4 linked regions of the Notamacropus eugenii genome follow. The main gene of each other region encodes a partner of the protein of the gene in region 3 in a complex. Links are inferred from orthologs where the notes say so. Each region holds a gene or a part of one and is shown on either strand. Other genes may lie near its edges. The genes, in order: SMARCD1, SMARCC1, SMARCA2 and PHF10.

Region 1 (7,499 bases), on a different chromosome or scaffold from region 3:
GAGGTCTAGGGGCTCACAACCCCCCCGTTGACACTCAGCATGAAATAATGAATAGCATGTCAGAGAAATCTGCCTGTTCTAAATCATGATTTGTTCTCAGCAACAGCAGAGAGAAGGGAGATCACACAATGGGAATTAAGGATCTTAAGGATTCAGACAGGAAGTCATGGCTTGAAATGCCATATGGGGGAAAAACCTGCAAACTCACTTGATAAATAAGCCCAAACCAAGGTAATCAGCAGAAACCTGGGAAACCATTAATGGCCAGAACGAGCCGAGGGGGGAAGTGAACAGCAAATCAGATCACAGGACAATAGTGTTCTCAACACGATATGGCAGTGAAGGCCAAAGCTGTGGGAGCTGCACACAAAGAGCCATTGTCTTCCAACGCAAGGAGCCGAACGTCCCTCTCCCTGCTGCTCTGGAAAGGAGTTGTGAGCACCGTTCAGGGTCCCTCCAGACCAGAAAGACATTGCTCTTCTCTAGATGCCCCCACCCCCAGTCCCTACCAGTGTGAACATCACACTCACATCCTCAAGGAGCCTTCCTTCCACTCGAAGCTCCCAGGAAGCCACAGTTCCTTCCCCATCTTCAGCATCTGATTTAGCTGGATTGAAAGTATTCGAAATGAAAATACGAAGTTTCCGTTTTTGCTGGAGGGGGTAGAAACAAAGATTAGTATAGAGCTTTGGAAACAATACTGTGCCCTAACCATTTAATTCTACCAGAACAAATTGCTGTCTGCCCAGTCCCTTGGGGAGGGTAGAGATTCCAACTAGGAGAAATGAATGGGCAACCAGCCCACAGTGCATAAATAAGGATGCAAGACAAACGAGGATATTCACAGTGCCAACTGGGTTCCTGGGTAGAGGACTCAATTACAACAGTGACATCAAAAGTACAAAGATTTCTGGTGAAACAGTGGGCCCTCTTCTCCTTTTTCTATTCTGGTACTTCTAATAAAATTAGCTATTAGGGAAAAGGGGAAATTTAAATACGTCTGGGAGATCTACAGTGAACTTTCAATTTCTTAGACTGCTGATGGATCCTGAATCCCTCTTTCTTGGGTCTCTGCCGAGGAGTTTCCTGTACCTTGATGGGTCGTTTCAAGGCCTCCTGGATATCTAGCCGTTTCCTCATAATGGTTTGATCCAGTTTCCTTTCAAAAGCCAAGAGGTCCATGTAGGCCTGGGATTCTGGTACCAGCTCACGAATCTAAAGGGGAGCAAGATATAGTCAGGTATATAAAATTTGCTTTCAAACTCACGGGTACTATAGGGGCCCTAGGGGAGACTCAGGACATGGGGAAGGCGTGCTAGACTCACCCTTTGAGGTAGAATTTTGTCAGCCATCTTCTTTTTCTTTGCACTGTTCAGAATAAACATTGGTATTAGGCTGGGATGGAACTGACCAGAATCTGAAAATGGGGAGGGCGGCATCCTCATATGAATGCATGAGAAAGAGGAAAAGGGGTGCCCAGGGACTGAAAAGTTTCTTTCAGACCAGAGAAAAATCCCCCCAACCCATGGTAAACTCAGATAAGGTAGTTTCATGAGTCACATAGGTTTATAGACACACTCCCCAGTTTCAGCTGCTATGTCTCCATAGAATTGCTTTTACCCTTCCCAGAAGTGTCTTACTTGTGATTTCGATTCTGGACCGCCTGCTGCTGGACCTGTTGGATCTGTTGAGGAGCTGGTCTCTTTCGGGACTGATCTATTCCTGACTGGGCCAGACCAGGTCGAACTGAAGGATTCCCCCCATAGCCAGGAGGTCCCATAGAAGGTCCCTGAGGTGTCATACGGCTCCCTGGCAACATGCCTGGACGCTGTAGGTGAGACACAACACAGAGATGTTATAGCTGTCCCGAGCTGTGGGATGTTAGAAAGAATATTGTGTTACCTCAGGGAAAGGTATGGGGAAAATGGGAGAACCCTAGAACCTTGTATGAATGTGGGCTAACTGGAGCTTCCTTTACCCAGGATCCTGGCTCCTGAGAAGGCGGACCAGCCCAAAGTAGAAGAAAGGACCAAAGGACGAGACCAAGGTAAAATGTCATCTAGCCCGCCCCATCTCCTCTAATGCATAAACACGCTTCCTTGCTGTTCTGGGATTTCCTCTTTCCCTTAAGCCTCCTGTTCCTTTGGGGTTCTTCTTTTCTAGTCGCTATCTCTTTGACAACTATGCCTTCAATGGTTATCAGGACACCGTGGAGTTCTTAATCTTCCGTAGATCAGAACTCCCTCTTCAGCCTCTCCTCTATAACCTAACTCCGTACCCTTCCAAAGAAACAGAGCCAGAACCAGAGTTGGACCGGACCTGGGAGGTCACCTTGGCCCATCTCCCAAATCTGAATGCAGAAGCTGCAAGCTGTACGTAGGACATTAACCCTAGGACGAAGGGGCGCCTTTACTTTAGGGACCTGGAAGCCGAGGCCACAAGGGCTGGGTGAACTGGCCCCAGAGCACGCGGACGTCAAGCGGCGGCCGCATTTGAACCCAGGACCTCCGCCGAACCTGCTCCCGCGGTCCGGCCTCCCTAAGCGCACACCGGGAGGGATGCGGCCGGACCGGAGGCGCCTGGCTCTGCAGCTCGCTCCTCTCCCCAAGCCGCCGGGCCACGGCCAGCTCCATCTCCATCCTCTCGCCCTCCCCTTCTCCCCGGTTCCGGCCGCCTCCGGGCACCCCCGGCCCAGCCCCTTCTGCCACTCACCCGCAGGGCCCGCCCCCCTCCCGCGCGCCCCTCCTCCTGCCCCCCTCTTCCCCGCCCCCACTCACCGGATAGGCTGCTCCGGGCATCGGAGAGCGGTAGAGCCCCTGGCCGGGCGCCGGGCCCATTCGCACCGGGGGCCCCGGGGTCCCACCCGGGCCCAGGGCGGCCGCCGCGCCCGCCCCTGACGCAGCTCCGGCGCCGCCGCTCGGAGCCACTGACTGGAAACCAGCCCGGGCCGCCATCTTCCCCCGGAGCCGCTGCCGCCGCCGCACAAAGAACCGGAACCGGAACTCCCCCCTCTCTCGGCCACTCTCCCTTCCCCCTCAGCTACCCCCCCTCCCACCCCCAGACCTCCGGAGCTTGCCCGGGATAGGGAAGGGGTGGCTTCGGGCAACGAGACTGCGGGCTAGAAGGGAGTGGTGGAAAAGGCGAGGCGGGCGGTCCCCTCCTCCTGGCCCGCTGGCCCTAGGCGGAGAAACCAGCGAGAAGGAGCTGCGGGGGAGAGCGCCCCTGAGCCGCGCCCCCTGCCGGCCGGAGGGCGGCCAGGCGCCGAGTCTCCGGTCCCGAGCGCGGCGCGCACCTGGCACCAGCTACCCCGGCCAGGCTGGGCCGGCCGGCGGGGCCGGGCCCGGGCAGCGCCGGGTGTAGCTGCGCTCGCTGCTTAAGAAGCGCTTTGCTGCCCTCGGGTTGTCTCATTTCTTCCTGCCAAGGCGGCGGGGGAGGCTCTCGATCGCCCGTACGGCACACACGGAAGCAGGCTCCGTAACTCGGCTGGCTCGGCTCGGTACCGCGCTCCATGGTTCGAAAGGAGCTTTGCAGGCGCCGTGGGTTTGTTTATCCTCGCAACGATCCCGAGGAGGTGGGGGCTATTATTTACCCCCGTTGTACAGAGGAGGACCCTGAGGCAGGCAGGCGAAGTGAACTCGCCCCGGGGCGCCCGGCTGGGACAGGATCTGAAGCAGGGTCTGCCCGGCTCCGGGCCCCGGGGGTCTACTTGGCCGAGGCCGCCCGGGCGCTTTGGGAACCTCCCGGAGCGCGTCCGTGATGTGCCCGCGGGCACCCGGCTAGGAAACGGGAGTGTCGGGGTGGAGTCACCCTCCTCACCTTTGGATCTGCCCTACCCCCAAGTTTTACTGGTCCTAGGCATGACGTAGTCGGACCTCAGACTAATGAGCTGTATGACCCTGGGCAGATGGACCTCAATTTCCTGTAAAATGGGGAGGTGGGCACTCGCGACTTAGGGTATTACAGGTACTGTGACGCTCCAGGGAGAGAATTCGTAAAGCTTTCTTTTGTAAAGCGTATAAAAGTTCACGTAGATACTACTGCGTACCTTAGACCCGAACTACCTTGCCCATTGCCATGGGGACTCTCCTTGTACCCCCTCTTTCCCCCGCCTGAAACTCAAGCCCACTGTTGGTCCTCTGTTAGGCAGTCCTAGCTCAAAAGAATAAAGATCTTTGGTCTAAAAATGACCATCCAGGCCCTCTCGGGGTTCTTGTCCGCCCCTGGCACTCTGGTGCCAAGTCCAGCAGGGTTCTAAGCCTTGAACCCAGTGCCAAGTGGTGTTCCACACATACTTGTTGAACCAGCGAATGAACAATTAAAAACAACACTGTGAGGGGAGATGGTTGAAACCCAGTTTATTAGACCAGAGGAGTGTCTCACCCACCATCCTGCTGGCTGTCACCGCAGCTGCTTAGAGCATACTTCCTCCTGTTTCTCTACAGGGAGGTCTGCTCTCTGTCCAAGTGACAACCAGGAACCAGGTATTTATAGACTCCCAGCAATGTCTTCCTCCGAAATCCCTACCACTCCCCCAGCACAGGGATGGAGAGGGGAGAACAAGTATCTCCTAGAATTATGTCAGTGGCCTCATCCTCATCATCAGAGGCTATGTTGGCTGGGGCCTTCCCCCAGGGAGCTCTAAGCAAGAGGGCCTTAGGATGGAAGGGATATTTCTGGACCATCTGAGATAGAGAAAGATGAATTGGAAGGTGCAAACCTCTATTTTCATCTTATTTCTCAGGGGGAGGATGGGGAGATAGTGTAACAGCATGAGCTCCCAACGCTTCCTCTAGTCCTATCTCATTATGAAGTCCAGCCTTGTCCCTAAAATCTGAGCAATGGAGGTACAGGCTTGGACCCCAGGTAAGAGAGGATGGGTAGTCAGTAATGGGGAGAATTTGACCCTAGCCGACATAGCCTTGGGGATGAGGGCCTTAGACACTATCTTCTAGCCACCTATATATTTTTCAGTGGCTACCTTTAGAAACTATGGGTTGTTTCCCACCCTTACGCTGTCCCTGACACCTTATCTCCATGCTCCAGGGATTCCATCATCTATAATTCACCCTGATTTGGGGCCAAGAGGGAATATCTATCCTCTGAGCTAAGTGCCAATTCTCTGTGTCCACCCCTTCCCCCAGGAGGAAAGTCCTAGTCAGAAGGGGGATAATGGGACTGATGGAAAGGAAGGAAGAGGCCTTAAGGCTACAGGGAGGGCAGAGAGTGCTCAAAGCATAGGTAGGTTGGGGGGCAGGCCAGAAAGAGGCAGAGCTTATGATTCACAGCTTCCTTTATGTCCAAGACAGTGAGAGAGTTACAATGCGTACGTCGTCTCCTTGTGCTTCTCAGGGGGATGTGTGTACACAGTACAGACACCGGAGGAGAGAGTCCAACACTTTATACAGGTGAAGGCATTCAGAGGGATTGGTAGTAGGTTGGTAAGAGAGACAGAAGGAGATTTGGGAGGAAGTAGGGATGGGACTTAGAGACACAGGGGATGGGGATGGGAAGGGCAGACAGATAGAGGCGTAAGGAAGGGAGTATATACAGTTATAGCAATATAGAGTCTGTATCATATAGAAATAGAAAATGCAGATGAAGTCATAGAAAGAAACAGATGGAATAGAGGACAAAGACTTGGGGAAGTTCCATAAGAAAATTTATGGATGTGGCCCCATGCAAGGGACCCTTGGAGGGAGGAACTGGGAGTTAGGAGAGAAATAGGTGCCAGTTCCCCTCTCCCTGAGTTGGGAATCAAGTGTCTACATCTTTTTTCATGGAATGAGGGTGAGGGATCCCATTCAAAAATTTCTCTGATTTTGGGGTAGGACCAGGACCAATGTTGGCATGAAACCTGTGCCTCATCCTGTCCCAAGTCCCTCAGGGAACACCATCTATTCCTTGACCTCTGAAGGGCACCCAATAAGTGTAAGGGAGAGAGGGCCAGGGGCCTCAGTTCCTGCCCTTGTGATTTAAAACTGGAGGGTAGGGACACTACTGAAAGGGTCTCTTAAGGCTAGGGAAGCCCTCCTCCCCCATTAGCCCTCCCTCCTAAGGTACATTCTGTGTCTGGGGCCCAGTTCAAGACCCCTATGGAGTCTTTCCACTCATGTCGTCCCTGCTGGAAGAGCTTCAGTGAATGGTGAAAGCAGGATGAGAATGGATGTTCAAACAGACATAGGTCAGGCTAGGAGCAGGGGGAGGCAGCACAGGGCATAGAGGGACAGCCTGGGGTCCCTTGCCCTTTCTCTTTGTAGTTTATTTCTGTTGTTATTTGTTTTGTTAAAAATAAAAATGTATGGACATGGAGGGCAAGGGAGTAGAGAAGGGCACTGGACTCAGAACCCCCTTCCACCAGTTCTAGGAGGGAAGGACTTTGAAGGGAGTTGGGAGCTGCCCTTGAAGTGGGAGGGGCAGTGATAAGCCCCAGGGCAGGTGAGCAGCTTGATCTCCCAGGTTTTCCTTGCCCTCCTCTTCCCTCCCAGGCCTTTGGTATGACGGCTGGCAGGGCTCAGCAGGTAAAGTCCTCAAAGGTGCCTCGGGTCGGATGGTGAGGTAGGATGTTGGCGGCATATGTCATCCCAGCAGGATGGCCCCGGAGGCTCTCACAGGGGTTCTGGGGAGGGGGGAGAAAGAGCAGGGAAAGAATCACTAGAAAAGCAAACAAAGGGAGTCAGGGTGAAAAATATATTGGACTTTGGTTGATGAAGAATCATGGCAAAGGAAGACTAGGAGTAATTTTTTTTACTTCCCTGTCCTTCACCTTCAATATCCACTCAAATGACTGAATCTTATTGATCCTTTTTTCAAAATGTTTTTTTTTGCTCTAACATATATTTCTATTGCCACTATCCCTGTCATAACTGTTATTCCTAGATTGTTCCTAGATTAATAATTTCTAGAATGATTAATTAATACTGCCTTATTCCTAGATTATTACAGTAGTCCCTGAGATGATCTTCCTGGTATCTGCCCCTTCTGTTTAATTCTACAAACCCAGGTCTTTGAGGTCTTTTGACCTTCAAGGTAGGTATAAGGTCTTTGAGGGCAGAATTTATTTTTAACTTTTGTCTCTGTATCCCCAACACCTACAGTGCCTTGCATATAGTAAGTGCTTAAAAAATGTTTATGCACTGTTGAAGAGTCAAAGCAGGGAATAATTTTAGGGAAACATTGGGGAGAGTATTATCTTTAGGGTCACTTAGAGGGAAGCGTAGATAGATAACGTTGGGATTCCAGTGAGACCAGTGGGGAATGAGAGAAGGAAAGAGAATAGAGGAGGTTTTTGGTGTGTATTAATGTGGGAAAGGAGAAGAGAGAGCATCTTATTCAGGGTCTCTTACATGTCGCTTGACATCATCCAGGCTGAGGGCTACACCCTTGTCTGCACTGTTCCTTTTAGACTCCTTCTGGCACCTGCCCCGACGGCACAGCTTGTGCTTAATCACCTGGATGGAAGAGAGAAGACCTGCAGTGGGGATGGGGGTCTAGCTAGCACT
Region 2 (7,119 bases), about 86 Mb from region 3:
GTGTTGACCTGCTTTTCATGCTTTTCTTGCATCTCTCTCATTTCTCTTCTCAGTTTTTCCTCCACCTCTCTTACTTGATTTTCAAAATCCTTTTTGAACTCTTCCATGACCTGAGACCATTGAATATTTATTTTGGATGTTTGGGATAAAGAAGCCTTGACTTTTATGTCTTTCCCTGATGGTAAGCATTGTTCTTCCTCATCTGAAAGTATGGGAGAAGATATCTGCTCACCAAGAAAGTAGCCTGTAGTCCTATTTCCCCCCCTTTTTTTGGCATTTTCCCAACCAGTTACTTGACTTTTGGGTCATTTGTCAAGAGTAGGGTATACTCTGGGGGGGTCTGTAAGATCTCAGCTCCTCCAAGGTGGTACAATCAAGTGTGTACACTGGTCCAGGAGCAAGCAGAAATTTTTGTGCCCCAAATCTGAATTTCCTCTTCACAACCACCTTGCCTCCAATTCCACCGAGCCAGAACTGGGGGCTGAGATTCAGATAAGCTGCAGGGGCAGGGCTGCCATTCAGTGTGAGATAAAGATCAGCTGCTCAAATCCCCAGGAGTATTAGGTGGGGGCAGGGCCTCTACACAGGGCTGAAGTAAGAAACAGCTGCTCAGTGCCCCGAGGGGTTTTACAATCCAACAATGGATGCGGGCTGCTGTGGAAGCTGCTGCAACCCACCCGATGTGGCCTCTGCAGTCGCCATCTGAGGCTCAGAGCTATGGCAAGGCCCTTCTCCTTTCTTGGCCAGCTGAAAAAACCTTGTCACTGACCTTTGGCGCCTGTGTTGAGGGATCTGTGAACCGTTGCTACTGTAACTGGGGATTCTGCCCCTGAGGTCTGCTCTCATCCTCCTCCCAGAGCTGCGATGTGCAGCCAAGGCTGGGCGACAGACATTTCCTGTTGGCCTTTCAGGTCACCCTGGGGTGGAAATCTCCTACACTCTGTTGTTCTGTGGCTTCTGCTGCTCTAGAATTTGTTGAGAGCCTTTCTTTACAGGTATTTTATGGGCTATGGGGGAAGAGCTAGTATATGTGTGTCTTTCTACTCTGCCATCTTGGCTCTGCCCCCTAGTACAATAATTTTTAAATGATCCCTCCTGGATCCATGTTCCAGGCCAGTTTTTTTTCCAATGAGATATTCCACATTGTCTATTTTTTCATTTTCTTGGTTTTGTTTCATAATTTCTTGATTCCTTGTAAAGTCATTAATGTCCATTTGCTCCATTCTAATTTTGAAGGAATTATTTTCTTCAGTGAACTTCTGGACCTCTTTTTCCATTTGGCCCATTCTGCTTTTTAAGGAATTCTTCTCTTCATTGACTTTTTGGACCTCTTTTGCCATTTGGGTTAGTCTAATTTTAAAGGTGTTATTTTCTTCAGCATTTTTTGGGGTTTCCTTTAGTAAGCTGTTGACTCATTTTTTTGTGACTTCTTGCATCACTCTCATTTCCCATTTTTCTTCTACTTCTCTTACTTGATTTTCAAAGTTGGCCCAAGATCAATTCATATTTTTCTGGGAGGCTTTGGATGCAGAAGATTTGGCTTTATTGTCTTTTTGTAGTTCTATGTTTTGATCTCCCTTGTTACCAATGACATAAGAAAATACCTCTTTGCAGAGAAAGTAAGAATCTATAGTCTGTTTCTTTTTCCTGTTTTATCATTTTCCTAGTTAATTACTTGACTCGAGCTCTTTCTTATGTTGAGGGCTCCAGGGGCAGCTGCACAACCAATTACTTGACTTTTGAGGTCTGTATTGTGAGGGACTCCATAAGCAGCCTCTGCTTCAGCAATGGCTGCTGCTGCTTCTGGGGCTGGGGCTGAAGCCAGACTATGCTGCCCTTTCAGCCAGGTGAGAGACCCTTCACACTGACCTTCAAAGCTGTCTGGTGTTTGTAGGTTGAGATTTGTAAACTGCAGCATGTGCCAGTGATTCAGTCCCCTAAGGCTTGCTCCAATATCTTCTGTGTTGGCATGGCCCACATGGAACTGTGCTCTGCTCCCAGCCCAGTGTGATACACCCTTTCTGTCAACTTTCCAAGGTTGTCTTGGGCTGGAAATTTGCTTCAGTTTGTCATTTTGTGGCTTCTGCTGCTCTAGAATTTTAGAAATTTAGTCATTATTATTGGTTTTTTGAGGGGTTTGTGGGGACAACTCTAGCAGGTTCCTGCTTCTACTCCACTGTGTTGGCTCCGTGCCCCTTTCCCCCCCCCTCCCGACAGGATTTCTGATGTTTTGGAGCAGGTTCTTGACTTCCCCTGGTTCTCACAAATTAGAAACTCTTATAGTTCCTAGGTCCTGGTGGCAGAGGAAGTGTATAGTGGTAATTAAGTTCCTGGGCTGAACTCAATTTCTCCATCATGAGATACTAAAGCTTCATTTCAAGTTGGCAGAAGCTAAAGCATACCTAGAGGTCACCCATCATATGGCACAAGTCACTATCCTTTGGATCTGAGTCCTAAGAAACAAATCAGTCTTCCTATCCCTCAGTACCCTTGGTAGGCTGAGATTTGGGGTTTATGAATGTTTAGAATTCCCTTAAAAACAGGTCTTCTGATCTTCTGCCCACCTAGGAGCTACGGCCTGGGGTAGATAGGTTATGTCTTTGGAGCTCCAACTCTGTGTTGTAGAATTTAAAAGTAGAAGAGACTGCAGGGATCAGCTTTTCCGATCCTGTTATTTTATAGATGTGGAAACTGAGGCCCTTAAAGCATCGTTTAGTTGTTTGAGGTCATTTAGCATAATTGCATTCTCCTCTGAACTCCTTATAACATTTTAATGGTACAGGAATTTTTGTAGGGATATAGGTGGCCCAGGAGATAGAATGTTTGGAGTCAGGAAGATCTGCTTTCATTCTGCCTCTACGCAGAGCAAGTTACTTGAGCTGTATTGGAGATAATATAGGCAACGCTGCTTCCAGTGTTGTTATTATGCTGGCTAGACGCTGATCTATGGCACATGGTTAGTTATGTTTCCATGCTGAATTCTCTCTTAGGTAGCAAGACCCTTGAGAACACTTCCTTCTACCCTATGCCCTGTTTTGTCTGCTTGTAGACCTTAGGAAAGCTTCTCCAAGGAACAGCTGACAGGGCAAAGGAGAGCCCCGGCTTTGGGGGAGGCCTGGTATCTACAACCTGGACTCCAGTGAGGGATGAGGGGCCCTCTCCTCTCAATCAATCAATCAATAACCGTTAGCCGCGTTTGTTGGGTCTTACGGGAACACCTGCATCCAGCTGTCAGCGCCAGGGCAGCTGCCCAGAGCACGTGACCCCCTCCTCTCTGCAGAGGTCATCTCTGCGGACCGGCCCTGCCACGGAGCTGTGGGGGATGGGCTGAGGGAAACTCGGACCCGGACCGGGCAGGCCGCCGTTCTTCTGGCAGCTCTTGGAGCCAACATCCTGGGACCAAAGGTGGGGGCGCTTCGCCCGGGGTCCCGGGGGCACAACTCGAACCCAGACCCGACCCCAAAGCCTGGCCTTCACCCCCTCGGCTAGGCGCTCCTTTTGTCTTGGCTGGACAAAGGAATGAATCACGTGAGCGGCCGGAAGTCAAAGAGCCTTTCTCTCCCCCCCCCGACACATTCAGTAGGCGCCTACTGTGTGCCAGGCACCGCTCTAAGGATGCAAAGAAAGGCGAACGGCCGGCCCGGCTGCGCAGGAGCTCCACGTCTAACCGGAGACATGGCTGGGGAGCCATCCAGTACGACCAGCTGGTACGACGGGTGGACCCGGCGAGAAGAGGCGGCCCTGAGAGGAAGCTCAGGAGCTCGCCGGCGAAGCAGAGGATGCCGGCTGCGCGCGCACCCTCCGGAGCGCGGAGGAGGGCGGGGAAGAGAAAAGTTTGGGGAACTGACGGAAATCCCAGGGGCCGCGGAGCGAGCTCGGCGCATGCGTGCTCGGCGCGTGCGTGCCCGCGTGCGCGCGTGCGCGCGCCGGCGCTAGGCTGGACGAGCAGAAGCGCGGGCGGGGGCGGGCCGGGCCTGGGCCTGAGGAGAAGGAAGTGGGAGGAGGCGAGAGGAGGAGGGGGAGTGACCAAGGCGCGCGCCAGGCCGCCCCGCTGGAGTTGGGAGGTGCGCGCGCAGGCGGCGAGTCCCGGAGCAGGCGGCGGCGGACACGGCGAACGGCGACAATGGCCGCGGCGGCGGGCGGCGGGGGCGGCGGAGCTCCGGGGGCGGCGGCGGGCGGCGCGGGACCGGGGGGCGCGGCGGCGGCGGCCGTGGGCCTGGCGCTGTGCCGGCGGAAGGACGGGGGCCCGGCGGGCAAGTTTTGGGAGAGCCCGGAGACGGTCTCCCAGCTGGACTCGGTGCGGGTCTGGCTGGGCAAGCACTACAAGAAGGTGGGTCCCGGCGCGGGGCGGCCGCGGGGCCCGGGGTGGGGGCGGGGAGCGGCCCGCTCGGCCCTCCCCCCGCTCCCCGCCATGAGGGACAACAAAGGGCGGCCCGCGGCTCCGGGGCTTCCCCTGGCCGCCTCCCCCGGGGCCGTCCCCTCGGCGCCGGCGGGGCCTGGGGGCGGCGGGGCCTCGGCCTTGCCCCGCGCGGGAGCGGGCGGGCCGCGAGCGTCGCCTCCAGGAAGTCTTCCAGCCGTGCCTCCCCTCCCCCCGCCTCCTGCTGCTGGGGGGGGGGGCGCCTCGCGGTCTTCTCGGGTCAGGCGGGCCGAGGCCGGGGCCCGGGGTGGGGGCTGGGTGCCGGGGCCGCGGGACCGAGCAACAAAGGAGCCCCTTCTTTCACCGAGTCTTGGAGGGCCCGTCGCGTGCGCGCGGGTGGGGGGCCGCCCTCCGAGGTCGCGAGGACTCGCGTGTGAACGTTTCACGCCGCCCGGGGAGACACATCCTCAGTCATCTGCCTTTTACGGACGGGGAAACTGAGGCCGAGAGCCTCGCTGGTCTGCCTGAGCACCTTTGGAATCCAGGTCTTCCTTGGTCCCCAGTCTCCTACTGACTGTGTCTTCTTTCTGCAGTTTTTTTTTTTTAAAGACAGTGGGGGTGGAAAGCACAAAATTGGGAGTTTGTAACCTCAAAGTAAGGTTACAGAAACTTTTAAGAGAGAAGCAGAGGAGATTTTTTTTACCCTATTAGATATTTTTTAAATTTAATCCTTAAATGTCCCTGAGCAGAGCTCCCCCCATCATTCCATTCTACAGAAAGATGGTTATGATAACCGTGAATTTCCAGTTCACACTGCTTGCCTTTTTTCATAACCGACTTCTTTTTGTTCTTCCTCTTGAACTTCCATCTCTTCTGTGAAATGTATTGAATATTTAGGAGAAAGTTAATAACGGAAATTAAAAGCTTAATGATTATTAAACGCTTGTTGCCAGGTACAGGTATTCATTTCATTTCGCTTTTGGTATCTGAAACTTGTGTCAGTGCTTTTCTAGATGCTTCCTGTGAAGCCTTGCTTTTCATTGCAGCACATTGTAGAGAAAAGAGCATTGAATTGGGAATTAAGAGGACCTGAATTTAATCTCACCTCTGCCACTTACATATGTGACCTTGGGAAAGTCACTTAACCTCTGGGTCTCGGTTTCTTCACCTTTGAAATCATTGGGTTTGACTGGATCACCTCTTAACATCCCATCCAGCTTCAGATAGATGATCTAGTGAACTTAACATGTGTAAGAAAATAATTTGCCAAATGGAAATGAGCTTTTATTATAGTCAATGCCTTGTGTAAGGTTTGTGGAATTGAGTTTCTGTACCTTTCAGTCTCAGACTTTTTGATCTCAGGATTCCTTTACCCTCATAAAAATTATTGAGTGCTTTTGTTTATGTGGGTTATATGTCAGAATTTACTATATTATAAATTAAAATGTCTTAGCATTGTTATAAAAATAGTTTTGACTCCGTGGACCCTTTGAAAAGGTCTTGAGACTTAAATTCTCCAGACCGCACTTTGAACACTACTGGGAGACTAGAGACCCTCACTTCATTCCACCTCTATGCTCTTCCAATATTTCCCCAATTTTTCTTTTGGCCTGGTTGCTTAAGGATGCAGCCCTCAAAGGTGTGCTTGATGCATTTCACAGTTCTGATGCTCTGGTGTTTTTGTTTAGGAGGCCTAGGGATCACTCTCAGCTGGCTGTAGAGCAGATCCAGATATACATTTCTAGGGAAGAAGTGTGTATTTATCCTTGATCTTTTTCAGTGGCTTAAAATTAAAATTTAAGCTTGGCTCCAAGAAGAGTTAAGAAAATTCACACCCTCCCTTTGTAAAGGTGGTACCATGTGGCTGGAATATTGTATATTCTGCCAGGCACTGTTTTGCTTAACTACTTTAAAATTTTTTTTTAAATCTTTGTTACACCGGCTGAGAAAAGGACAATGGATATAATATATTTAGAAACAGAAGTTATCAATGAAAATAAAATGTTTCAGAAATATCTAATGGAGAAAAAAGCCATTATAGTAGTTATGGAAAAAGTATTTTAATGTCTTAAAATGTCTTAAGTTAAATGCTGATATTTTATGTCATTTTCAGTAGGGTTAAAGAGAGCTGAAAATGCACATTAAAATTTTTATATTCTGTAATGAGGCCTGGACCAAAGTATATTATATTTTTAACTAGATTCAGTGTAATTCTACTCTCTTGATATTTTCATTGGTGCACCAAATAACATTTGAGCATCTTCTACTCCAAAGGAAATTATGCTAATGTAGGAACAAAGAATAAGTTGTGATTCTTTTCTCTAAGGATGTTATATGTACCAGATGGAGAGTTAATACCTCACAGAGCAGTGCTTGAAAAGTGCTGAATGTGTTACTAAGTCTTCATGGTCTATATACGTACATAATTGTCAGTATGTTTCCTAATCTGATTGAAAATATTGTCTGTGAATATAAAGCTATTTTGTTCATTTTGAATCTTAATTAGTATCATTTTTTGATGAACATCATGAAATGAAATGCTGAAAGCACTTTGAAAAGTACAATGTTACTGTCAGGTGGTAGAGTTGTTACTGTTATATTGTACCTGAGGCTTTTATTTTGGTCAGATAGTGATCTCTCTTTCTCCTCCCTTTTCTTACCCCCTCCTCTCCTTTCTTTCTCTTTTTTTCCTCTCTCTTCTCTCTCCTTTCCCTCCTCTCCCTTTTCTGTTCTTTGTCCCCTTCCCCCTCATATGTCATGTT
Region 3 (7,390 bases):
ATCCATACTAAAGTTGACCACCAGAAAATAATTAAATTTTTTGAAAATATGGTGATCCATATAGTGTTGGGTATTAACATCCTAATCAATGCTGGAAAGAATCCTTTTGGAAACTCTTGAGTTGATTTTAGCTTTATTGATTACTTCTTGCTAAACTATAGTGTTATAGCCACAATAACAGTAGTAGCTAAGTTTAAAATCTAAAATTCTAAAATCTTCTATAGTAATCTACAACAGACAAAGCATACAGTCATTACTGTATGGCCGTATTTACTCCTTTTTCATCATAGTTAGACAACATTTTAATCAGAGGAATAATTTCCCTTTAAGTCTAGAAATGTTTGTTGGCTCCATATCCTTACTCTTTTTAACAACTGTGACCCTAGACTTCAATTTTTAAATCATCTATTTGCTTTTTGAAGAACTTCTAGTGATATACTGGGCGCAAACAAATGAATGTGTCAATAAAGACATGAGGAGGTGGTCTCTGTCTCTGGATTCCAAGGTAGAAAGTGAAAAGCTGCTGCTTCAGAGACCAAACAATGACTCATCAAAGGCCAGAAGGAAAAGCTTCACGTGAATTTAACATCCTGTTTGACAACCTGGAGATCTTTCAGCCTTTGACCATATCTGCTTTTGGGAGATTCTCTCCAAAACAAAAGCAACCCTCATAGCCATTCTTCACATCAATTGTTAAATTTTGCTTTTTTCCTGAAAGCTGAATTTCATGTTATTTACTTCACATCTGAAATAGATGGGGATGCAATTTCATTTCTCAGAAGTTTAAGCCACAACAGGCGAGCAATATTGGATGAGATTCCTGCCTGTTACACTGCATGTTACTTACATGAAAATCCTTCATAAGATCTATTTAAAGAAATCAAAGGAAGGAGATTGTCATTTTCCTAGGAAGCACAAAGGGATATGTGGTTGAGAAAATAATGTTGACATTGTTTTTCCTGATTGATATTGTTTTTTATCTATGCTTTTGAAATTTCCATAGTTTCTTCATAAATTATGCACAAAGGCATACAAAATCCTATAAATTAGATGAGGAAACTATATAATACATTAGAGACAATACACATACACACAAATGCACACATGTATATTTATGTGTATGTGTGTGTATGTGTGATATATGTGTGTTTCAATTACAAAAATTTACAATTTAAATTTAAACTTAAAAATACTCCTTTCCCTCAAGTACCTTACATTCTAATACAGGATGCAGCATATAAATAGATAAGAAAACACCAACTTATTTGAGAAGTAAAAAAGTACTAGCAAGTGGATGGATTAGAACAGGCTTCCTTTAGAAGAGGTATGTGAACAACGCTTTGAAAAAGTAAGATTCCAAGAAACTAAAAATGAGAGAATACCTTCTTGTTCTTTATTCATGTCTACCCTGTGGACCATAGCACACCAATACTGTCCTTGGGGTTTTCTTGGCAAAGATACTGGAGTGGTTTGCCATTTCCTTCTCATGTGGATTCAAGCAAATGGAAATTAAGTGACTTGCCCAAGGCCACACAGTTAGTATGTATCTGAGGCCAGATTTGAACTCAAAAAGATGAGTCTTCCAGACTCCAGACCTAGAACTCTGTCCATTAAACCACTTAGCTGCCTCCTAGGTAAACAGATATTAAGTGATTTGCCCAAAGTCACACAGGTAGCCAGTAACTAAGGCTGGATTTGAATTCAGGTCTTGCTGACTCCAGGCTCCAGGCTCAGTGCCACTGAGCCACATAGATACCTAGAGTACCTTCTGGGCCTGTGCAAAGACACATAGGCAAGAAATGAAAAAAACAATTCAGGGAATATCAATTAGTCCCATTTGACTAGAATGTAAAGTCTAAATAATAACAAAGTCAGTAAGTAGAAAGGTATTTGAACATGTATGTATATATGAATATATATGTGTGTGTGTGCATATAATATATAGACACATATCTTTACATATGATGTATTTGTACCTATAAAGGTATGCATCCATACATATATGTCTACATACATACATGTATGCATCCATAAATGTATGTATATATACATATATGATTTTATATTTTTGCCATTGAATACTCAGTACCAAACTCAGTGCCTTGCACATAGCACTTAAAATTTAATTAAATTGGGTAATTGAATACTCACATATGCTCATACATATCCATACAGACATTTTCCCCCCAAAAGCGGGAAAAATTCCAGAAGGAATGGAAAGTCCTTCTACAGATGTTTTGCCAAGGTGATTGGTTTCTCCATGAAAATTGCCTTAACTATAATGGAGAGGGCAAAGAGGTCCAAGGGCTCTTTTTTCTAGGAAGGAATAAAGTGCAATCTCTTATGCCAAAATATTGGAAAATATGTGGTCTTAAGAAATTATCCATTATAACAAGAATCTTCATTAAATTAAAACCCAGTTATGGGCCACCAAATTATTAAGTTTTATTATTAGTTGTAATTTATGAAACAGTTAAATACCTTTGACTGTATTTTACTATGCACCTAAATTTGCTCAGCGTCTCTTGCTGGAGATTCGATGGTTAATAATTATATCAGCATGTCCTTGGGCAGAAAAATCAGTTTATTTTACTGGATGCATGGGGACATACTACGTATTTTAATTGATTCTCTTTAATACTGTCCTTTATCATATTTTGAATAGCCAGAAAATGATGTTGAAGTTGGTGATCAAGTAAAAAGACCTTGGGAAACTACAGTGTCAGTGACAAGTAACATTGTATCTCTGGCATTATAATCATGTCATTACAGATTCTAATTTGGTCAGTAATAGACCAGTAACATAAACAGTACCTGTCACTTAATGACCATATGGAGCATTCTGTGTTCTTCCCATTGCTTCAGGTTCTTAACTTCTCCAGCTGGCTGTTTTGAACATACTACAAGAACGACATTTCAGACACTTGCTCAAATAGAGTCAATTTTGCAACAGTAAAATGCCTCTTAAAATAGGATTTTACTCTAGGGGGAAAACTCTCTATAAAATAGTCACAATGCACTTTCAATGACTAATTTAGGCTGTTGCATGGCAAAATAAGGGATAAATCAAACTTTTCATAACTCTAGCACATAGGAACAGTTTTAATTTTTAAAGGCAAATACCTACATTAATCTGAGGCTAAAATAACAGACCCCTGACTTAAAATCTTCCAATGTGTTCTTTCACAGTTCATAAAAATATTTCTCTCAGCAAATATTGACGGCCTGGTAGGCCTAAGGTGCTTGTATTTCAAGGAACACCATAAGCTGAGGTCTGGGTTTTTTTTTTTTTTTAAAGTGCCAGGAGCATTTAGTTTGAAATCTTAATTGCCTCTTAAGTGTAGGAAGGCAGACTTAGAGATTAATGTGAATGCAGGTTACCAGATTTACTCCCTTGCTTCCACCAAAACGAGATTCAATGGCCCAACTCCTTATTTCCCCCTCCCAATTCCCCTCACCTCAGAACTGGTGTGTATTTATTAATTTATTTATTTTTTACTTATGGAATATAGGAGAAGAAAGGTAAGATAGCAATCTCCGATTCCCAGAGTGGAGGTGTCCCTATTTCTCCATAAGCTTCATAGCCTGATTGCAGATTTGGGGGATCAATGACTTTTGGAAAGGTGCAACTCAATGGAAGGAGAGTCGGATTTGATCTCAATGTTCTTTGTACCCTCCTCCCTTCCTGGAAAAAGGCAGATTTATAATTATAGTCCGGGGGGGTGGGGCGGGAGAGGGAGGAAGTTTCTGCAGCCTTGACAATGGCTATCCCTTCCTTGTAACAACCAGCCTTTGGTGCAACTCCGAATCTATCTCCTCCTCCCCCCTCCTTTCCCCCTTTCCAGGCTCGACCTGGCAATGGCTGGCACAGTTAAATGCCAGCAATTTCTTTCCATACCCCCCAAACTACTACAAGCTATTACTACTACTACCCTCCGTTTTTGTTACGTCTCCAGAGCCTTCTTCCCCAAAACAACACGACGCTGAAGGGGGAAAATTTCAAGCCGGAGGGGGGGTGGGGGTGGGGGGTAGAAAGACATTCCAACAATCAATCGTTGAAAAAGGCAGCAGTAAAGCATGAACATCCACAAGCCAACTCAGGCAGGCTTGCTCTGTCCTGCGCAGTTTCTGTGGTTCCATGTACAAACAGGGAGCAAAGGCTGGAGCCTTTACAGGCACACATGCATACGCGCATACAGTAGACCTGTCTCTCAAGGCACATTCTTCCACACCATCACCCCCTCCTCCCGGTACTCCCGGAGTAGCCAAGGGGGCCGAGTGACAGAACAGGTCCACCAACCCCGGCAGGGGTGGGCAGGAATTCTCGCTGGGCCCAGCCAACTGGAGAGAAGCTTCCGGAGCCTCTAGCGTCAGGGGGGTGGGCCTAGCGAGGAGTAAGGAGGAGGGGCCCGAGTTTAGGAAGAGGAGGGGAAGGCTGTCATCAATGAAGTCATATTCATAATCTAGTCCTCTCTCTAGCTCTGTTTCTGTACTCTGGGTGACTCAGAGAGGGAGAAGATCCATCCAGCATACTCTTCACAAGCAAGGTAAATATAACTTACAACTCCCTTCTCCCCACCCCCCCCACCCCCCGCTCCTGCAGCAGCTGCTGTCGCACAACCACCTCCCGTGCACACTCAGCCTTCCCCAGGATTTATTCATTATGATCATAATTATTATTGATTGTACATGCACAGAGACCAAAACAAGCGAAGAAGAGGAGCAGCCGACAAACAAAACAACAACATTCCTCACCGGTCTCAGGTGAATAAGGAACAGACAGCACAACACCTGGGTGGTTGGAGAAGAGGTGACGAGGGAAAGTTTCCAAGAGAATTGGGGTTCTAATAATGACAGTAATCATGCCTACTTCATGAGAATCAGAACAAAAAGCAGCCACACAATCCTGTACCTGGCTACCAAGTCACCGACGCGCTGCCAAGTCAAGGTTGCAAAACAAACACACACACACACACACACACACACACACACACACTACAACGCACATAGATGGGCAAGGTTGCATCCCCCCCCTCCCCATTAAAAACCTCTGAGGGGAAGAGGGGGAGGAGGGGAAAGAAGGAGGGAGGATGGAAACGCGACAGTTCATAATAAGAAACCATCATAGTAACAGTTGGAGGGGGAGGAGAGAGCAAAATCTAAAGCTTGTCATAGAGCACTGGTAGCCCCTGGCTGCTTTCTCCCAGGGACTTGGTTCAGGAGCTCAGGCAGCGGCGCGGACAGAAATAGATCGAAAGCAGCAACAGTCGGGGAAACCGAGGCTCAGCTCCGCCGTGGCGGCGGCGGCGGCGGGGGCGACCAAGGTGGGAAGCCGCGGCGGCGGTGGCAGGAGCAAACAGAGGCGGCAGGAACCTGGCCGGTAGGTTGGACTCGAGTGTTTTTACCTTCCCCCCCACCCCCCTTTCCTGCGACGGTGACAGACCCCTGGACTTGTATGGTGGTGCTGTAGCTGCTGGCTGTGGTGGTGGTGGTGGTGGTGGTGGGAGGGGAGGGAGGTTTGAACAGAGGATTGCAGGAGAATCGCACCCGGTGTTCTTCTTCCCCAGTTTTCTCTCTCTGTGCACCAATGAGTGCCCACCCCAGTGCCTGCCTGGCAGGAGCAACGGAGGATTCGTTTGGTGCTTGTGTCTGGAGGGGGCATGCATGGGGCGGCGGCAGCTACTGCCTGAGTGCTCGGGCTGCCGCCGCCGCTGCGGCTGCCACCGAGTGTTGAATGTTGAAGTTGAGTGTGTCCGGCCCGGGCTTAGCAGCTGGGCGGGTGGAGGTGGGGAGAAGAAGAGGAGGAGGAAAAGGAGGAGGAGGAGAAGGAGGACACGAAGGAGGAGGACGGAGAGGAGGAGAAAGAGAAGGAGGAGGTCTGGTTGCCCCCTCCTTTTTTTTTCTAGGGCAGTGGGCGCTGAGCTATCCCTTTCAGGGTCAGCGGCAGGGGTGCGAATGGGATGGGGAAATCAAGTGAGTGAGAAGGGGAGAAATGGAGCTTGTTAAGAGTGAGTGGCTGCTGCAGCAGCAGCGGCTGCGTTAACCAGCCGAGCCAAGGAGGCCATGATCCGGATAATCTCCCTGTCTGACTGTCACTAACATTACACACATACACACGCACACACACTCACACACATACGCACACACAGGGGCACGCAAGTGCAAGGTTTATTGGTGGAGGGCGAGGGGAAGGTTGCTGCCTGGTAGGAGAGGGTCCAGAGTCTCCTGACCACCAATGCCTCTTCTTGTTCCTTGTCTTTTAGTTTTGTAGGGTTCTGATCGAATCTGGTTTGGGTTCTGCCTCCTCCCCTCCCCTCCTCCTCCCCCCTCCCGCCCCCCGCCCCCCCAGCGCCAAGAGCTCCTCTCCTCCTTCTGGTTGCCTTGCAAAACACAGTCACGCGAACTGCAAAGGTGTCGCGATTCACTTCCCCAAATAGCCTGTCCAGCTCGTCCCTGACTTGGCCCCGTCCACTCCCCGGGCCGCTGCCGCCGCCACCTCCCGGGTGCAGAACAGCGGGGTCGGACGTTCGGGCATGCCTGGTGCCTTGCATCCAGCGCATCTGTGTATGCCTGGCTTCATCTGGAAGATAAATGGATAGCTCCGTGCATTAAACGCTTCCCGGCCCAAAGACTTCGTTGATTTCCGGTAAACGCGGGGAAATTGCTTCTTGCGGCTTTCCCCCAGCTTTTTCTTGGCTGTAACCAGTGTGCAACTACCTAGATGAGATGGTGAAGACCGCGGTCCTCCTGTTTTCATTTGTTTTTATAGTGGTTGGAAGGCAGGGAGGGGGAGGCACAGAACTTGCCCCTGTTGCTTTGGAGGCGGAGGGGGGTCTGCCGCATCCAGACCCCAGGAGGGAAGTTTGGAGAGGTCTAAGGCAGAAAAGTTTGGCAGGGTAGATAACTAAGGTGGAAGGGGAGGGAGAGAGCGGTGGAGAGGGCCTGAGGGGTTTGCAGCTAGTATTACAGTTTGCTCTAGGTTGGAGTGTGTGTGTATGTGTGTGTGTATGTGTATGCGCGAGTGCGTTGTGTGTGTGTGTGTGTGTGTGTGTGTGTGTGTGTGTGCGTGCGTGCGTGTGCGCGCGCGAGTCAGGAGCAGCAGGAGGAAAGCAGACTCCCTCCTCCTCTCTCCTTCTTCTCCTCCTCCTCTTCCTCCCTCCCCAGCCTGTGCCTGGAGAGGAAGAGGCGAGGTTTGGTGGTGGTGGTGGTGGTGGTGGTGGTGGTGTGTGTATGTGTGTGAAATCCTCGGGGAATCAGGAAGTCACAGCGGCGAAACACACACACGTACGCACACACATACACACACAGACATGTTTGATCGGTATGACATGATGAGAGGGAGGGAAGAGGAAGAAGAAGCTGGAGAGAGACAGGCCTAGCGCTCTCGGGA
Region 4 (7,610 bases), on a different chromosome or scaffold from region 3:
AAAAATTTGTTTTTAAAAATTAAATAGTCTAGTTTTCCAAATATGATTACGCCTGATCTCTAGCAGATGTTCTTCTAGCAAACAGGGGTGGGGAACCTGCCATGCATAGCCCTCTAGGTTCTCAAGTGTGGCCCTCTGACTGAATCCAAACTTCACAGAACAGATCCTTTTATTTAAGGGGATTTGTTCTGTCAAGTTCAGATGCTAGAATCTAGCATCTCTTGAGCATTATACATTGTTCTCCTGATGATGCTATACCAATGCAAATCATACACACAATAATGTTAGGAAAATTAAAATTACAAGTACTCAAAGGGCAATGGAGATCTTGCTGATGGTTATAAGGTTGGCTTCAGAATATTACCAAGACAAAAAAATGCTATAAAAGATATGAAGATTAAGAAACTATAAAAGGTGTCAAGTCAGTGATTACTGTGAAAATCAAAAGTGAATAATAGAAAACCCCTGTATTACTATATACTTCTGAAATCTTAGAAGAGCCAGAGGAAGCGCATTAGAAAAGTTCAGGGGATTTGTGATTTTCTCATACCAATAAAATCATCATTTCAAAGTAAAAGAATTCCAGTTTAAAAAAAAGACAATTTCCAAATCTAGAGTGGTTACATCCTTAATCTTGAGATGACTGACTTTATTATTAGTTCATAGTTATTTACAGGTTGGCTCTCCCCTTAGAAGGCTAACTCCTTGAGAGCAGGATCTGTTTTTGCCTTTGTATCCCTAGTACTTAGCCTGAAATACAGTGTTTGTTCAATGTCTAACTGCTGTATTTCAACTTTTTTACTAGATCTCAAGATGAGTTTTTAAAAGTATTTGCTTCTCTTTCAACATTTAATCATGACTTTTAAGCCACAAAGTATTTTTAACTTCTAAGATTACATATGCTCATTTGGATATTTTTCTCTGCCCTTTCATTTAAAAATATTTAAATTCTTATTTTGTCCTTAGTTCTTCCCCCTTGCAAAATAGGAAGATCTCCATTTTTCCAGTTTGTACTTAAAAAATCCAGTTGAAGAAAAAATGCAAATAAAAATTGTCAGAAATATCAAAATGCCCTAGTTTTGATTCCATTTTTTGTATTATCTTAAGCATATGCTTTATTAATTTTTGGTCAAAGGCTGGTTTATTTTTCCATGATTGATAATTTTTTTAGTCAGCTTCTCTAAAAAAGAAAATGCTGACTCAGATTCACAGTTTTGAAAATCTAGGCAAATGTTTAAAAAATAAAATACGTGGCATTTACATCATAGTGTAGATACAATATGGTACTTTGGATTTAGATCTATCACTGTCACTCACAGCTGAAGTCTCCCTTCTTTCACTAGTTAGAGATAAGTTAGAACTCCTCGGAACCTTTTCCTCATTTGCATTTTATTTTCCAGAGGGGAGGAAGGAACTTCATCTTTCAATTTCATTGCACAGGGACCTCCTAGTCTGAAAACACCTTCCACTTAAAGCAGATCAGCACCCAAATGTATAACCTAAAAAAAAAAAAAAAAAAGTGCCTGGGGCACTTAAAGTTGAGTGACTTATCCAAGGTCATAAAGCTAGTTAGAGGTGGGGTGGGTCTCACAAACTGAAAGGCTGACTCTATACTTCAACTGTGTTGAGGTCATATATAATGGGAGGATTATAATATTTGAATTTCCTAATTCAAATGGTTGAGGATCAAGCAAAATAATGCATGCAAAAGTGTTCTTGTAATATTCTATTCATATTTTCAGGAGCAATTTTCATTCCAATTTTGGCCAGTGCTTATAAAAAAGGATGCAGAAAAAATCCCCAAAACAACATAATCCCACAAGTGGTTATCCAGCCTTTGCTCAAGACAGCCCATTTCCCTTTTGGGTATTTCTAAGTTTTTTACTAACATGAAATCTAAATTTGCCTTTTTCCAAGTTCCACTCAATGCTTCTGCTAGATCCAAGCAAAACAAACTTAATCCCTCTTTTTCAAAAAGAGGCAAAAAGGTCATTTTGTAAACAAAGTTCCGGAGTAAAACTGAAGGTGTCTTGGATGAAAAAGGTCTCCTGAATGAGATTCTTTTGTGGTGGTCCTATGTTAACTTCTCCAGTAAACTAGTGACTCACTATAAATTCAATAACTTGAAATAATTACAAGTGTTACTTCAATACTCCAACGGCTTTGTGACTGCACACATGTGGACATGCCAAAAATGTAACTAGCTACAAAACCTTTCCAGTTCTGCGGCGTTATCCGGAGCTTAAAAACTCTTTACAGTGAACTTAAGATCCGAGTTAATATCCGGATACACCTGAGCAAACCGCACAAAAACAGGACCAAGTCCTTTCTTGGCAGCGACCTGAACTGTGGAGACTTCTGTCCGGGCCCGGGTGTCCCAAACGATGCCGACAGCCAGCCCACAGAGGCCAGGCCGGGCCGCCCGGGGGGCGAAGCAAGCAAGGGCCAAGATCGAGGAAGACTTCCTTTCTGGGGCTACCTGAGAACTTTTGGGGGAGGGGGGTGGCTTAAAAATCGCTCAGGAACGACCCGCAGGCGAAGCGGGGTTAAGCCCCGTCTGGTTGCTCCCTTCCTCTTCCGTGTTTTCGGTATCCAGGCTCGCTGACAGCTTGGGGCCGGACTTTTCGGGGAGGCTGACGGGCACATCCCTGGCAACTTCCCTAGCTTGTGGCCCTGACTCGGAACTGCAGAGACCCTCCCGGGACCCCGCCCGCCTGCACCTGTTTCCGGGGTACCCCGACCCCGTCCGGCCCGCGATGGGGCTGGCGACCCCCAGGGCTAAGGGCCGCCGTTAGGGGCTCCCAGGGGCGGGACGAGCCCGGGGACCCCGCAGGCCGGCGCCTTCCCCGTTCGCGGGCCCGCTCACCTTCGGGGACTGGGCTCCGGGCGTAGCCGGGTTGCTGTCGCACAGGCGCGGGGAGAGCACAGCCCCGGGGGTGGCGGCCGCCGCCGCCATCAGCCCGAGCCCGAGCCCCCCGCGCCGCCGGCGCCGCCGTCGCCGCCGCCTCGTCCTGACCGCCGCCGCCGCCGCCGCGCGGAGAGGCCTCCGCGGCGTCCGCTCCCCCGGCCCCGCCCCCTCCCCTGCCCCCTCCGCCCGCCCGCCGCCGCCGCCGCCGCCGCCGCCACTGCCGCTGCCAGGCGGCCGGCCCCGGCCCGAGCCCCGGCCGGCACCGCCGCCGCGCGCCCCCCGGCTCGGCGCCGCCGCCGCCACCGTCACCGCCACGGTCGCCGCCAGCGCTGCTGCCGCCGCCGCCGCCGCCGTCACAGTCACAGTTCCCGCCGCCGCCGCTGAGGCTGCTGCCGCCGCTGCTGCCCGGAGAGCGGGGGAGCGGGAGAGGAATGGAAGCGATCGCGGCTCAGCCCCCTCCTCACGTCACCCCCTTCCCCTCCCACCGCAGCCCGGCTCCCCCGCCCCCTGGCCCATCCTGCTGCCGGCTCCGCTGGGTCCGCTCCCCCTCGCCTCGATTTCCCCACCCCGCCCCCTCCCCTCCAGCCTCCTTCCGCAGCCCCAGCCTCGGCGGCCCCGCCCCCCTCTGTTCTCCGCTCCCGCCGCTGCCGCAGCCGGGCCGCTCTGCGCATTGGCCGCGGCCCCCGCCCCGCCTTTGTGTGGTGTGCGTCCGGGGGCCGGCGCGTCCCCTCCCGCCCGGCTCCCTCCTAAGGCTGCCCTGCCTTAGGAGCTCCGGGGCGGAGCGGGGCCTCCTCGGGAGGGCTCTGCGGGGTGCGGGGCGGCCGGCTTCCGGCCCTTTGGCCTCCTCCGCCCCTGGGCTGCCTTTGTCCTCCCTGCTATTGTGTCCTGTTCGCCGGAAAACACCCCGGGAAAGGGCGGCGGGCTTCGTCCCGGCACCGAGAGGGCGGTATAGGGGACTGCACGTGGGGAGCCCCAGCAGCAATGGGGGGCACCTGTACACGGCAGACTGGGGTCCCCAAATACAGCCAGGCCCCCAGTCACCTGGTGCCGGGAAAGATCGATCTCACTCGGGGGTGACTGACCTTACATACATACCCACGTGCATCTGCACACACGCATGAGAGAGGGAGGTGCTGATTGGGACAGAGAGCCCATGTGCAATCATGTCTGTATAAATGTAACCGTGTGTGTACATGTTACATAGATGTATGTGTAGTTGGGGCCGTTCCAACCAGTCAGCCCAGACTGGGATAGAGATAGATATCTGTATGCCCCCCCTGGGGTGTACACAGATAGATCAGGTAGATGATAGATAACCTTCATGCTTAAGTATGTCCTTATTTTTCCTCTTTCTAGGCTAAACTACCTTCTTCAGCTGTAGCTACCTCTAGTTCTTATGGTGCAGTGGATAGAGCACCAGTGCAGGAGTCAGGAGGACTTCAGTTCAAATCTCCCCTCAGACACCTGACACGCACTAGCTGTGTGACCTTGGGCAAGTCACTTAACCCCAATTGCCTCATCCTGGGCCATCTCCAGTCATTCTGATGAATATCTGGTCACTGGATTCAAATGGCTCTGGAGGAGAAGTGAGGCTGGTGACCTGCATAGCCTCCCTCACTCAAAGCAATGTCAAGCGCAAGTCATGTCATCATTTCTGTGATGGCATGGTCTTCTTCAGAAGGAAGGACAAACACACACAACAGAAATTATCAATGGAGTCAAACCATGATGGGTGATCCAACAAAGGAGAAGCCAAAACTGACCAAAACTTTTTGCATGTACCTCTGAATCAGGTTCTTCAACTGTAAGTCGTAGAGGCTGCCATTCATCATGTGGCTAGCAGAACAAAACTCATTTCAGAATGTCTACACATTCTTCAGAGTCCTTCCAAGGCACTTCAGTCTCCTTAAAGAAAGTTCCCCAGCTTCTCCTATGAGGAGAACTGTATTGACCAGGCTGCTGCACTCATAAAGGACTCCTAAGAACTGAGCTTATTGGTCAGTCCCTCATTACACATTATAGAAGAAGAGACAACAAATATATGTAAGAACATATTCTCTGAATTTACCTAAAGGCAGGCTTAAAGTGCCCCCTCACAGTTCTAGGTGCACCCTTAAGTGGGTCTGACATGTTTCTTCTTTACTGCTTTCTACTTGAGCCCCATCCCTATCCCACACTAATTGCTAATGATTAATGACACAGTTGTAATAATGCTGACTTTTACAAAGTGATTTTTACTTTGATTTTTAAAGTACATTTTATTAATGTCTCCTGTCTTTGCATCTGTCATTTCAACTTTCACCCTTCAGATTACTTTCCCTGTGATTAAAAAGACATCAAAACAAAGTAAAAGCATCCAATATAGTGACATCTGAAAATGTATGCTGTAATATGCATTATAGTCTTCCATGGTACTGTGGAGATATGTCATCTGTTTTCCATCTCCTTTATTGGTTTTTCAGTTACTCAATACTTTGTTTTACTGATCTTTTCATTCAAGTTGTTGTAGTCATTATATGTATTGTTATCTCAACCAGTTCATGTAAATCTTCTCTTGTTTCTTCAAATTTTTCTTATTTCTTAACTGTACCATAATATTCACATTTTTTAAAGATCCTCCTTTTCTCCCTAATACCATCTTCTCTCCCATTGAGAAAAAAAGAAAACCTACGTTATAAACAGGAATAGCCAAGTAAATCAAATTCCCAAACTGTCTGTGTCCAAAATAAAATTTATCTTAATTTGTACTGAGTCCATCACCTACCTGCGTATTAGAATGCAGGTAACATGTTTCATTAAAAGTCCTCTGGAATTGTGCTTTTTCATTGTGCTGATTATAGATCTTAAATCTTTCAAAGTTGTTTGTCCTTACAACATTGTTGTTAATATAGAAATTGTATTTCTGTTTACTTCATTCTGCATCAGTTCTAACATATAACGCTTCCCAGGTTTTTCTGAAACCATCTTCATTATTTTTTTACAACGCAATATTATTCTATTACATTCATATACTATCACTTGGTCAGCCAGTCCCTAATTGATGAGTTTAATATTTTTTGAGCAGTTCTTTGCTACTTCAAAAAGAGCTTCTATAAATACTCTTGTATACATGAACCCTTTTACTCTTTTGTGTATCATTGGATCAAAGAGAATTCACAGTTTAGTAGCTGCAGAGGGATAATTCCAAATTACTTTTCAGAATGTCTAGGTGAGGTCACCATCCAGAGTAACAATTCATTAATGTTTCTGTTTTTCCACAATACCTCTAGCATTTATTTTTCTTTTATCAACTTTATCAGTCTAATGGGTGTGAGTTAGAACTTAAGAGGTATTTTCATTTGCATTTCTCAAATTAATAATTTAAAGCATTTTTATATGACTTGATAACTTGGATTTCTTTCTCTGAAAACTGGTTATTTATATCCTTTGTCCATTTATCAACTGGGGAATGGCTTTTAATCTTAGAAATGAGTCAGGGAAACTTGCTGAAAACATATTTTCCTCATATCTGCTTGTCTAATTTTAACTGCATTGCTTTTACTTGTGCAAAAACCTTTTAATTTTATGTAATTAATATACAATTGGCAATAGAAACCTATATTGCCCAATGAGAAAAAGGGAGAAGTAAGAAAAAGGGGCAAGGGAAGTGATTAAAGAGAAGACAGACAAAAGAAAGCAATTGTCAGAAGCAAAACAGACTTTAGAAGGAGGGATATATAAAAAGAGAAGCATAAAGAGAAGAAAATAGAATGGAAGGAAATGCAGTTAGTAATCATAACTGAATGTGAATAGAATGAAGGCACCCATAAAACAGAAGTGGACAGCAGAATGGATTAGAAATTAGAATCCAACAATATGTTGCTTATGAGAAACACACTTGAAACAGAGAGTCATGTATAAAGTTAAATAAAGAGGTTGAAGCAGAATCTGTTATTCTTCAACTGAAATAAAAGAGGCAAGGGCAGCAATGATGATCTCAGATAAAGTAAAAGTAAAACTAGACCTGATCAAATGGTATAAGCAGGAGAATTACATCTTTCTAAAAGGAACTATAGACAATGAAGTAATAGTAATACTAAAATATATGTGCCAAATGGGGACCCCAATTTTCCCCTCTCAGAACTAGATAAATCTAACCATAAAATAAATAAGAATTCAAGGAGATGAATAGAATGTTAGAGAACAGTTAGATAAAAGACTTCTGGAGAAAAATGAATGGGAATAGATAAAAATATACCCTTTTCTCAGCTATACATACCTCCTTCATAAAAACTGACCATGGATTAGGGTATTAAAAACCTCAAAACCAAATGCTGAAAAGCAGAAATGTTAAATGCACCCCTTTCAAAGCATAAGGCAATAAAAATTACATTCAGTAAAGACCATGGGAGAATAAAAATTAATTGGAAACTAAATAATCTAATTGTAAAAAACTGTTGAGGTTTCAACTCTAGGACACCAAAAATTGTTTTGGTTTCATGATGTATTGGGGTAGAACTGTATCAAAGAATTCAGAGTCAAACTACCTCTAATCCAAGTATAGGCATTTATTGAGATTGTCGCCTCTCAAAAAGCTGATTAAGTTCCAAGAGGAGCTAGCAACTTCCAAGAAAGCAAGATGGATTTTTGTAGGGTAAAGATATAATTACATAACAGAAATTTACATAGAATATAGGAATATGATTAATATTAAAAAGGCAGA

What was found.
Region 1: SMARCA2 (region 3) and SMARCD1 share a complex: the UniProt entries of both Homo sapiens proteins name them as parts of the BAF complex. The link is inferred for Notamacropus eugenii from reciprocal best matches to the Homo sapiens genes SMARCA2 and SMARCD1.
Region 2: SMARCA2 (region 3) and SMARCC1 share a complex: the UniProt entries of both Homo sapiens proteins name them as parts of the BAF complex. The link is inferred for Notamacropus eugenii from reciprocal best matches to the Homo sapiens genes SMARCA2 and SMARCC1.
Region 4: SMARCA2 (region 3) and PHF10 share a complex: the UniProt entries of both Homo sapiens proteins name them as parts of the neural progenitors-specific chromatin remodeling complex. The link is inferred for Notamacropus eugenii from reciprocal best matches to the Homo sapiens genes SMARCA2 and PHF10.

The regions. Positions count from the first base shown.
Region 1 is NC_092874.1:222,199,024-222,206,522, reverse strand, and holds the start of SMARCD1 (SWI/SNF-related matrix-associated actin-dependent regulator of chromatin subfamily D member 1), read right to left. Parts: upstream 3,006-7,499; 5' UTR 2,955-3,005; coding exon 2,778-2,954; intron 2,666-2,777; exon of another isoform or gene 2,640-2,665; coding exon of another isoform or gene 2,517-2,639; intron 1,829-2,516; coding exon 1,641-1,828; intron 1,369-1,640; coding exon 1,326-1,368; intron 1,216-1,325; coding exon 1,093-1,215; intron 654-1,092; coding exon 531-653; intron 1-530. Other genes in the region: ASIC1 (acid-sensing ion channel 1), read right to left, coding at 6,512-6,616, 7,344-7,448. UniProt on the Homo sapiens protein: Involved in transcriptional activation and repression of select genes by chromatin remodeling (alteration of DNA-nucleosome topology).
Region 2 is NC_092872.1:12,829,333-12,836,451, reverse strand, and holds the start of SMARCC1 (SWI/SNF complex subunit SMARCC1), read left to right. Parts: upstream 1-4,108; 5' UTR 4,109-4,123; coding exon 4,124-4,330; intron 4,331-7,119. UniProt on the Homo sapiens protein: Involved in transcriptional activation and repression of select genes by chromatin remodeling (alteration of DNA-nucleosome topology).
Region 3 is NC_092872.1:99,142,439-99,149,828, reverse strand, and holds the start of SMARCA2 (probable global transcription activator SNF2L2), read left to right. Parts: upstream 1-4,374; 5' UTR 4,375-4,547; intron 4,548-4,697; 5' UTR 4,698-4,764; intron 4,765-4,991; exon of another isoform or gene 4,992-5,207; 5' UTR 5,208-5,380; intron 5,381-6,380; exon of another isoform or gene 6,381-6,646; intron 6,647-7,068; exon of another isoform or gene 7,069-7,390. UniProt on the Homo sapiens protein: ATPase involved in transcriptional activation and repression of select genes by chromatin remodeling (alteration of DNA-nucleosome topology).
Region 4 is NC_092873.1:266,066,047-266,073,656, forward strand, and holds the start of PHF10 (PHD finger protein 10), read right to left. Parts: upstream 3,016-7,610; 5' UTR 2,957-3,015; coding exon 2,867-2,956; intron 1,500-2,866; exon of another isoform or gene 1,318-1,499; intron 1-1,317. UniProt on the Homo sapiens protein: Involved in transcription activity regulation by chromatin remodeling. Belongs to the neural progenitors-specific chromatin remodeling complex (npBAF complex) and is required for the proliferation of neural progenitors.